Linked DNA regions of Diceros bicornis minor. The protein of the gene in region 1 interacts with the protein of each later gene in a pairwise test. Links are inferred from orthologs where the notes say so. Each region holds a gene or a part of one and is shown in the gene's direction. Other genes may lie near its edges. The genes, in order: COQ8A, LDAF1 and TMEM239.

Region 1 (3,751 bases):
GAGGAAGGGAGGCTTGCAGAGCTCACAGCTGCCTTTACCCACATCGCACACACTTAGAATTCTGTTCTTTGGGGAACAGGCTGGATAAACCCAGGTCATACCTCTGGGATGCCAGGCTCCAAGGAGTCAACGAGGCACTGTGAAGTAGGTTCACTTCTGGATTTTATTATAATAAATACTCCCTCTCCCCATTTTAGGCATCAACATAGAAGGGCTTTTAATTTTCTAAGAACTAATATTAAACAAGTTTCCACAAAGTTAAATGTTAATTCCAAAAAAATAGAATAAAGGACAATCCCTTGGCTTGAATATTTAGTTTTACGAAAAACTCACTAAATTGTTCATTATTTTTCCTTTCCCCCACAAGACTCACTAACAGCCCGGGACAGAGCTGCGGACCGGTGTTCGGGAATCACTCGAGGGGAACTTGTCGCACAGATCTGGGCTCAGATCTGAACTCTGGTGGATGACAGCGGCGACTTGGGGCAGACCCGTTGGCGGGCGAGGCGTTAGCTCGCACCCACTCGGGAGCCGGCCGGCTGACACCCGGGGCCGCTGCTGGCACGTGGGGGCCTGTCCCCGGCTGCTCAGAGCAAGGCTGGACCCCCGGGGAGACTCCAGGGCGGGGACAACGACTGGGGTTCCGGCCGAGCGGGAGCTGCCCGGCCCGAGGGCCACCTCCTCGGGCGCCCCGAGCGGGGGGCGCGGGCGGCACAGGCTCCGGAGCCACGGGCCCGGGGTCTTCCTGTTTGGGGATGGCGCCCCCGCAAAGCCACCAAGGTTAGCCTGAGGAGAAAGCGGGACCAGCAGGCGGGCCCGGACGCCGGGGCTGGAAACGCAGTCAGCCGGGCCCCCGCGAGCGCCGTCTGGGGAAACGGGGAGCGGGGCCCTCGTTCCAGAAGGCGGGGCACGGCGCGGACACCCTCCTGAGTCCCGTCCCCTTCCACTGCCTCCCCTCCGGGCCCGCTCGGAGGCCGGGCGAGCACCGGCAGGGAGGTGACGGGGAACGGCCTGTTCTCGGGGCGCACGCGCACCCGGCCACCAACGCCACAGCCGGGCTTTCAGCCCGGGCTCCCCAAGTAGGCGAAAGGGCAACGGGGAAGGGAGAAGGGGGAGGGGTCCTGCGCGCTGAGGCGGCCTCCCATTGGCTCCCCTCGCTCCGCCCTCGCTCCCGATTGGCCGCCGACCGAGCGCACGGGCCGAAGACGCTCTCCCGCGGCGCGCGGCGCTCGGCCGGCGACGGCGGCGCAGCCAATGGGAGCGGCCGGCGGGGCGGGGCCGCGGGCGCTGGGTCTCCGGGCGCGGGTGAGTTGGTAAACACATCGGGAGCGCGTGCCGGGCGCCAGCGCTGCGCAGAGCGCGCGGAGGGGGCGCGAAGGTGACCGCGGAACCCAGCTTCCTGCAGCCGGGTAAGGCTGCCGGCCGCCGCGGGCCCGGGGCGCCGTGTCTCTGCAGTCGGAGCTGGGCTCACCGCCCGCCTGGGCCCTTCTTGCATCCTCCTCCGGTGACAGCGCGGCTTCCCTTTTGCCAGTTTCACTTGCCGCGAGCTCCGGGTCGTGGCGCGCTGGGCGCGCCTCAGGCTGCAGGGTGGGGGCCCAGCAGCTGCCTCGTACCCCCGTGCCCACCCAGCCCGCCGGGCCTGCCTCGGGGAGGGGACGAGGGCCGCGTGCTGGAGCAGGGGGGCGCTGGACCGCGCCGAGCAGCCCCGGTGACCGGCCGCCAGTTGCCGTGCCTCTGGGTCGCCAATACAGCTTTCCTGCCTCGCGTTCTCATGATAATATTTCTCCTCACTCCCAGACCCCTTTGCAGCGTGTCTCAAGGGCCTTAATGGCCCGTGGCTGCAGGTTTGTGTCAGAGCTTTGATTCCTTTTGGCCCGAGCCAGCTGTTGGGTTTCACAGGTGGGCGTTTTGGGTGAACTTGGGAAAGGGGGACCCTTCTTGGTCCTTTCCTCTGTTTGCTTTTCTTTGGCCCTTCCTTCTGCTTCTCCAAACGCTGGGGGTCTTTTGAGTGGTCTGTGCTTAATTGCATAAACGTGTGCCTTTTCCCGGCCTCCACCTCCTCTGCCAAACCCAGACCAGTTCTCCCATGTGGCTTGGGGAATGGGGAAGGCTGCGGGGGCAGGTCTGGGTGCTGGGACTCTCCGTTTGGATGAGAGATGCCAGCCTCCTGAAGGGTGAGAGACTTATGTGCAGCCTCTCAGCCTGGGGTGGGCCTGCCGCCTGCTGGAAAACTTGTCCACGGGCTCTTGGGTCTTGGGTGTGCGTGACAGAAGACTGAAGAGCTGGATGTGCCAGGCCTATCTCTTTGCCAAAGGATTTGAGTATGCATTGATGCCAGCCTGCCAGTTGTCATGCTGTAGAAGGGCGGGGCATCCTGGCAGGAGGGCCTTTCTCCTGAGAAGAGACAAAGGGAAAGTGGTGGGTCAGGGGAGCAGCATCTTTAAGACTCTGGCGACGGCTTTGGGCATTTTGTTCAGCCTTACAGATAATGAGGACAGTGCAGGTTGTTATAATTTTTGGCCTGACTTCAGGCAGCTAACAAAAAGTGAACCAGGTGGTCTGAGCACTTCCCTGAGCGTCACCTAAGACAGGTCTCCCAACTGTTGACATTTGTACTGGATAATTCCTTGTTTGGGTGGAGGGGGCTGACCTGTGCGTTGTAGGATGTGTAGCAGCATCCCTGGCCTCTATCCATTAATGCTAGTAGTACCCCACCTCACACACACTAGTTGTGATCCCCAAAAATGTCTCCAGACATTGCCAGATGTCTCCTAGAGGGCAAAATCGCCCTTGGTTGAGAACCACAGAGGTAGGACTCTAAAAAGAGCCTTCCCACGCTGCCAGGGGCCTCCTGGGAGCTGCCCGTGAGGAGTTGAGAGGTTAGGCACAGAGTAGTGTTGTGTCCCCTGCCCTACACCGACGTTAGAATCCATGTAAATTGGGCTTTAAAGGAGACCCCACCTCTGCAGCTGGGAGGAGAGGAGACAGAGAGGAGGTAGAAGGCCATGGTGTTTACTGTGCCTGCTGGATGCATGGCACTCACTGGCTGCGTCTAGAGTGCAGAAGAAGTGGAAGACTGGTGTTTTCTGTCTTCAGGGACTTGGCAAGACTGTGGCGGATATGCATATGAAATAACCGTGGGACAGGTTTTAAATAGTGAGCAAACAAGTTTCAGCTCTCTTAATGCTGGCAGAAAGGCCAACTCAATTATCCACCAGTGGCTTTTCCAAGGTGATGCTTTACTCAGCCTCACTTTTTGCTGAGACATGTCTCGTGTCTTGTGTTGTGGGAGGGGGCCAGGCCTGCGTCTGCAGGGAGTGAGTGTCTGGCTGCATTTCAAACATACGTGTGGGTATATTTACATGTACCATGTGTTCCTCTGTGAAAGAGGCTACCCAGGAGTGTAATGAATGGTGCAGCATGGACGCACGTATGATTTGTGGAGTTCCTTTATAGTTGATCAAAGCTTCGATGTCAAAGACAGAGGTTTCTTTTGTGCAGAGAAAGATGCTTTACTTCTGAGTCTAGATCTTGCCTTCAGTATAACCCAGAATTTATGCCTCAAACTTCTAAGTCCCAAACTGATGGGGATGCAGAAAAGCTGAAAAACAGTGATTAGTGTACAGGGCAAGGAAAAAAATGCCAAGTGCCTACCATGAATTTCCCTTTCTTTGATCCATCAGTTGATGGATCCTATGAATTTCCCTTTCAGTTGATCCATCCTGTGGGGACGTATCAGGATTTTCCCATA
Region 2 (3,751 bases), on another chromosome or scaffold:
CCGGGTGTATCATTTTACAGATGAAGCCCAGGCTCAGAGAGGTAACTCATCCAAGGTCACACAGAAAGAGTCTGTTCTGGGACCAGAGCCCAAGACTGTTGGACCCCCAGCTCAGCAGTGGTTCTCAATCGGGGACAACAGTGCCCCCCGAGGGGGCATTTGGCAATGTTTGGAGATATTTTTGGTTGTCACAATTGGGGCAAAGGGGAGCACTACTGGCATCTAGTGGGTTGAGAGCAGGGATGCTGCTAAACATCCTGCAACGCACAGGCCAGCCCCACAACTCAAAATTTTCCCGCCCAAAATGTCAAGCGCTGCCCTTGAGAAACCCTGCACGACAGGCTGGATTTGGGGCGACGGGACGTGTGTTGCAGCTCTGAATTAGAACTGAGGGACTTGGGTTTGGACTTTTTCATCTAGAAAACAGAGATACTAATCTAACTCAGCTTGAAGGAACTCGCTGCCTCCTGCATTTTTTCTTTTTTTTTTGTGAAGAAGATCAGCCCTGAGCTAACATCCATGCCAATCATCCTCTTTTTGCCAAGGAAGACAGGCCCTGAGCTAACATCTATTGCTAATGCTCCTCCTTTTTTTTTTTTTGCCCCCTTTTTCCCCCCAAAGCCCCAGTAGATAGTTGTATGTCATAGTTGCACATCCTTCTAGTTGCTGTATGTGGGATGCGGCCGCGGCATGGCCAGACAAGCGGTGCCTCAGTGCGTGCCTGGGATCCGAACTGGGGTGGCCAGCAGGGGAGCGAGTGCACTTTACGGCTAAGCCAGGGGGCTGGCCCCCGCCACGTGCATTTTTAAAGCTTCCAGTCAAGCAGGTTACCTCATCACTTGTGAGTCCTGAACTCCACAGATGCTTCCAGAAGAGTTGGTTCAGGGTATTTAGGCAGGGGAATCCCTATGACCCTGCTAAAACCCCTTCTCAGCCGCCAGTCCACCTGTCTCAGAGGTGTCCCGAGCACTCCTCTGCAAGCCAACAGTGCAAGAAGGACGTCTGAGCCTGTTTCCTCAAGGCTCCTCATTCCGGGCGTGGCTCTGAAAGGCTGAGGGAGATGCCGCTTCACAGAAGGCGCGGCGCGGCGGCTGGGCGCGCCTTCGGCGGATCCTTCCGGCCGGGGGCGGGGCGATCGAGCGGAGCGAAGCAGAGGGGCGGGGCGGCGGGCGGAGGAAGGCGGGGCGGGGAAGGGGAAGCAGGCTGCCACTGCCACTCCCGCCCCGCCGCGCGTGTCTTCCTCGTCCTGCTCCTTTTCCTCCCTCCGCTCCCCTGCAGACGCCGGTCTGCGCGCCCTCCAGCACCAGGTGAGAGCTCGCAGCTTGGGCCCGGGGGTACGGGGTGCCCCGGCGGTCTAGAGCCCCTCCCGGGCCGGGCAAATGGAGGAGCGCGGGGACGGTGGGTTGAGAGGGCAAGCGGTTTACTAATGAGGGGCGTCTCATCCCCTCGAGCCCCTGGGACGGGCTGAGAACGCGCACACACACGCATACACACACACGTGCGCACGCGCGCACACCTGCCACTAGATTTGGTAAAAGGGTTGCCAGCCCCATCCCACACCCAGACCCTGCCCCTTCTTGGGAAACCTGGTTGGGGTGTCTCCAAACCCCCCCCTCAGGATTATTGAAAACGAGTGCCTCCCCCCGGGTCCCTCTTCTCTACCGAGGACCCCCTCCCGCGTCACTGCAGAGAGGGGAGCTCCAAGCACCAAAGGTGGATTCTTTTCCCCAAATTAATGACAGGGTCGTCGACTTCCTCCAAGCTTCCATTTCTCAGTCTCGGCGTTCTCTCGGGCGCGGAGCCCCCTCTCCACCTGCATCATCCCCCTTCCCCCTCCCCTTGGATCCCAAGAAACTGGGCGCCCCCCGCCCCCTTGCGTCTTGGAAGGCTGAATGACTGGAACCATATGGGGAGCGGGAGGCTTGGGTAGGCCCGAGGCGCCCCGCAGTTCCCTTCCGCCGGCTTGAGATGCGACCCCTCCTCCTCCCAGCTGGAACGTTTGGGGTAGCCGTTTACCCCCAGGAGGGGCGGGGGTGGAAGAGCCGGAGGTGTTTTGGGGGCCGGTTGGCCGGTGATCTCTCTGTTCGGCGCGGAGAAGGCGGGGGCAGAGCAGTGGGGCGGGGGGGAACACACTGGTGGGCTGCACGGGCTTAACGGGTTGTCGCCTTCCCTCCTCCGGAGACTTCTCAGTGCCTGGGAGACACCCTCCGAGGAGTGAGTGACAAGGGGGTCTGGGGATTGGTGGCCAGGTGGGTGCATTTGACGGCTGGGGAGCGGGAGAGATGGCATTCTACCCACTCTCGCCCCCGTCGGACTCCCCAAACCGATCCGGGTGGCCCCTGGGTTTCCCAGGCCTCAGGAGACCCATAAGGGGAGCTGGGCTTGTTTCTGCCGGTTGCAGAGATGAGATTAGGGAGCTGAGTGCTGGGAACATCCCAAATTCAAGATCTGTGCCAAATGCAGCTTCATACACAGGATATGGGGTGGAGGGGTAAGTCCTCTGTTCCAAGGGGTTCTGTTTCACAAAAGGGATTGCAGCAGAGGATCTCTAGCCGGGCTGATTAAAACGTGCTTTATAATTTGTTTACTAGACTCCATGATGTTAGTAGATAACCTCCCCAACTCATAATTAGTATGTGGGATATTCAATATGGTAAATAAATGTGAGCGTCTCTCAGTTAATTTTGTCCACTGTAACAGAATCTTTTAGGCATTTGTACTACAGGTCAGGAGGTCAGTTGTAAGGAAGAAATGGAGAAGATATCTCTGTGTCCAGCCCTACAGTGGTTGTTTTGGGAAATATAAAGTAGGAACGATGTATTTGTTTATATGAAAATCCAAGAAGGGTTAAAAAAAATAGATATCTAATTTAACAAATTGCTTTTATTAAAAATAAATACTTATGTGAGATTGGGACAGTCCTGGAAATTCCAGGCTGTTGTGTCACAGAGTGTAATTGTGGCAAGCTCTGCTCCTGAGACACCTCTCTCCTTAAGGGGAAGAGAGTTACACAGAAATAAATAGAGAATGATTTATGGCACAGTGCAATTGGGAGCCAACCTGTTTAGTGTGGGTGTACGTAAGGAAATCGGCCACCATCACTGTTGTTTGAGGAAGGCTTTCTGGAAAAAACAAAAAGACAATAGGATTTAAAATAGTGTATTCAGCTTTCTTGCTTTATTCTATATTCTTTTCAGCATTTTGTCAGGCTAAAAAAATATACATAAACTCTCAGAGATAATACCATTAACGTTTTGTTGTGTGTCCTGAATCTTTTACTATAGGATATACACATAAAATATGTATGTTTATGTAACCATATGGAGTAGTTTCTAATTTTTTTTCACTTATCATGGACACATTTTCATGACACTAAGTAGCCGCATTATCATTTTAATGATTGTACAATAGTCCATTATATGAATTTATCATTATTAAACCAATTTCCTGCTAGTGGACAGTTAACTTCTTTTATTGTTTTGCTATTTATTATATATTATAAACAGGGATGCACTGCCCATCCTTTTGATACATTTTGATGTACTTGTTTGATTATTTCCTTCAGATTCCTCAAAAATAAACTGTTCGATCAAGGTGTGTGCAATTTGAGATGTTGGTAGATATTGCCAAGTTACCCTCCATTTGCCCGCCCGCCATCAGTGTGTGAGGATAGTAGAAGCTGTCGTTGGGTTAGTTGGGTGAAATCACTAATGGTTTAAGAAACTTTTTGTTTCCTCCAGTGACAGCGAGA
Region 3 (2,073 bases), on another chromosome or scaffold:
CCACAGGTTCCACGCAGTCACAGCACACACTTCTCACAGGGGGCCAGAGTCACGGGGCCGGCGAGGGGCCAGGACAGCAGGAGGCTCTACTTCTGCCGACAGTGGCAGTCACGAGACGACTCAGCCTCCAGGAGGCTCTGCTATTGCTGCTCCTGGGCGTGCGGCTGCTCCTGGGAGCCCATGGCATGCCCTTGGCCCTGCTTGGCCTGGCTTTCTGTCTTCATCCTTGGGCCTGAGTGCCCTCCTGAAATACACTGGCCATGCTGTTTCCTCAGGCCTCCTTTCCTCCATCCTGGGCTGGGCAGGCAGGAGGGTACCCCTTTATTCCCAGCCTGACCCTCAGGGGACCTCCAGCCCCACAATATGGACAGCGGGTACCTGGGTCTGAATCTGAAGGCAGGGATAGAAGGCGAGATAAGGGGTAAGGAGCCCAAGGCCGGATGTGGTAGCCATCTCAGAGCCTGTGGCTTGGGGGTGGCCATTCTGGCTTCCTTTGTAGCTCTAGAGAATGGGTGCCCAGAAAGACTTGCAAGAGAGCAGAGTGGGACTGGATATCAGCCAACAGGGCAGGGACAGGAATCCAGAGAAGGCTTCACAAAAGAGAGCATGAGAATTTACATCTATGGGCTTACCAGGCTCCCCTGCCAGCCTGGAGGGTCCATGGAGAGGGGCTCAGGTGAGCCTCATACTCTGGAGTGGCTCTTCTCTTGGCTGGACCCCACCCCAGCCCGGGTCACAATGGGGCTCCTCTGGGGAGGGTAGGAGCGAATGAGAGTGGGGGCTTGCCTCTGGCTACCAAGCCGTCCCGGGCACTGCAGGCAGCAACATGACTTAGGTGGCTCTGCCCAGAGGTAAGACCCAGGCCCCAGCTCAAAGCCTCACCCCACCCATGCTGGTGCCCTCCTGACCCCTGCACCCCCTCCTGCCCTGAGGACCCAGGCATCTCCAGGATTGCTCCTGCAGCTGGCCTGGCTCTCTCCCCAGGTGCACCAGCCGTGATGCAGCAGCCGCGAATGGAGACAGATGCCACTGGGGCCGGCGAGGGGCCACAGCCGGCAGTGCCCTGGTCGGCTTGGGTCACGTGGCAGGGCTGGGTGCACTGGTGCATGTGCCGCATGCCCCGGAGCTGGACCCAGTGGTGGACCACATCGGGTTGGCGGCAACCAGTGCAGCGTGTGCTGTGGGGTCTAGAGGGAATCCTCTACCTGCTGCTGGCCCTGATGCTGTGCCATGCTCTCTTCACTACTGGCTCCCACCTGCTGAGCTCCTTGTGGCCTGTCGTGGCTGCAGCGTGGAGCCATCTGCTGCCGGCTGTCCTGCTGCTGGTGCTCAGTGCCCTCCCCGCCCTGCTCTTCACCGCCTCCTTCCTGCTGCTGTTCTCCACGCTGCTGAGCCTCGTGGGCCTCCTCACCTCCATGTCTCACCCAGGCTACGCTCAGGACTTGGACCAATAGAAGGGCAACCCCATCCCGCTGCCTGTGTCTGTTGAGCCCTGGCCTAGGGCCTGAGGCCCAGGGGAGAGGGAGGGCAGTGGGACCAGGGCCTTCCTGCCTCAGCAGGCCCTAGACCTCCAACCTCTAGCACTGGTTGGGTCACGCGTGATGTTGCTGGAGCCGGCAGGGTAGATTAGCCTGACCTCTGGGCACCTCCATCAAGTTGACGCTGCAGGTACTTGGTGTAGGGGCTCAAGGGCTTTGAGAAGAGGGGACAGGGCAGAAGGCTTAGCCAGGGAAAGAGCTCGGCCAAGCCACCAAGAGCTCCCACATGGGTGTGGTGACACCACTGGGGCCCCCTTAGCAACTGGCACCATCTTTTTCTTGCAGCTGCTCTGCTGTCTCAGCTTCAGACTCATTGAGAACTTCTACCTGGGTACCCCTACTTGCCATTCCTGTCACCAACCCCTTCTTTTCACTTCCTCAGGCTCTAGAAAAGGCCCACTGACTGAAACCTAGCTGAGAGAGGGCTGGCCAGAAGCCCCATGAGACCTCAACTAACTCACCTCCCAGACCTTTCTGCCCAGTCAACCCTCACTCCCTAGACGTCCTACGTCCTGCTCAGTCCACATCCCTAAGT

What was found.
Region 2: the proteins of COQ8A (region 1) and LDAF1 interact in binary tests that used the Homo sapiens proteins (3 or more experiments, as listed by UniProt). The two-hybrid records come from large-scale screens. The link is inferred for Diceros bicornis minor from reciprocal best matches to the Homo sapiens genes COQ8A and LDAF1.
Region 3: the proteins of COQ8A (region 1) and TMEM239 interact in binary tests that used the Homo sapiens proteins (3 or more experiments, as listed by UniProt). The two-hybrid records come from large-scale screens. The link is inferred for Diceros bicornis minor from reciprocal best matches to the Homo sapiens genes COQ8A and TMEM239.

The regions. Positions count from the first base shown.
Region 1 is NC_080777.1:7,156,287-7,160,037, reverse strand, and holds the start of COQ8A (atypical kinase COQ8A, mitochondrial), read left to right. Parts: upstream 1-1,283; 5' UTR 1,284-1,305; intron 1,306-1,311; exon of another isoform or gene 1,312-1,409; intron 1,410-3,751. UniProt on the Homo sapiens protein: Atypical kinase involved in the biosynthesis of coenzyme Q, also named ubiquinone, an essential lipid-soluble electron transporter for aerobic cellular respiration.
Region 2 is NC_080765.1:30,046,677-30,050,427, forward strand, and holds the start of LDAF1 (lipid droplet assembly factor 1), read left to right. Parts: upstream 1-1,210; 5' UTR 1,211-1,307; intron 1,308-3,740; 5' UTR 3,741-3,751. UniProt on the Homo sapiens protein: Plays an important role in the formation of lipid droplets (LD) which are storage organelles at the center of lipid and energy homeostasis. In association with BSCL2/seipin, defines the sites of LD formation in the endoplasmic reticulum.
Region 3 is NC_080758.1:31,321,418-31,323,490, forward strand, and holds TMEM239 (transmembrane protein 239), read left to right. Parts: upstream 1-768; coding exon 769-836; intron 837-919; coding exon 920-1,454; downstream 1,455-2,073. Other genes in the region: C19H20orf141 (uncharacterized protein C20orf141 homolog), read left to right, coding at 1-236.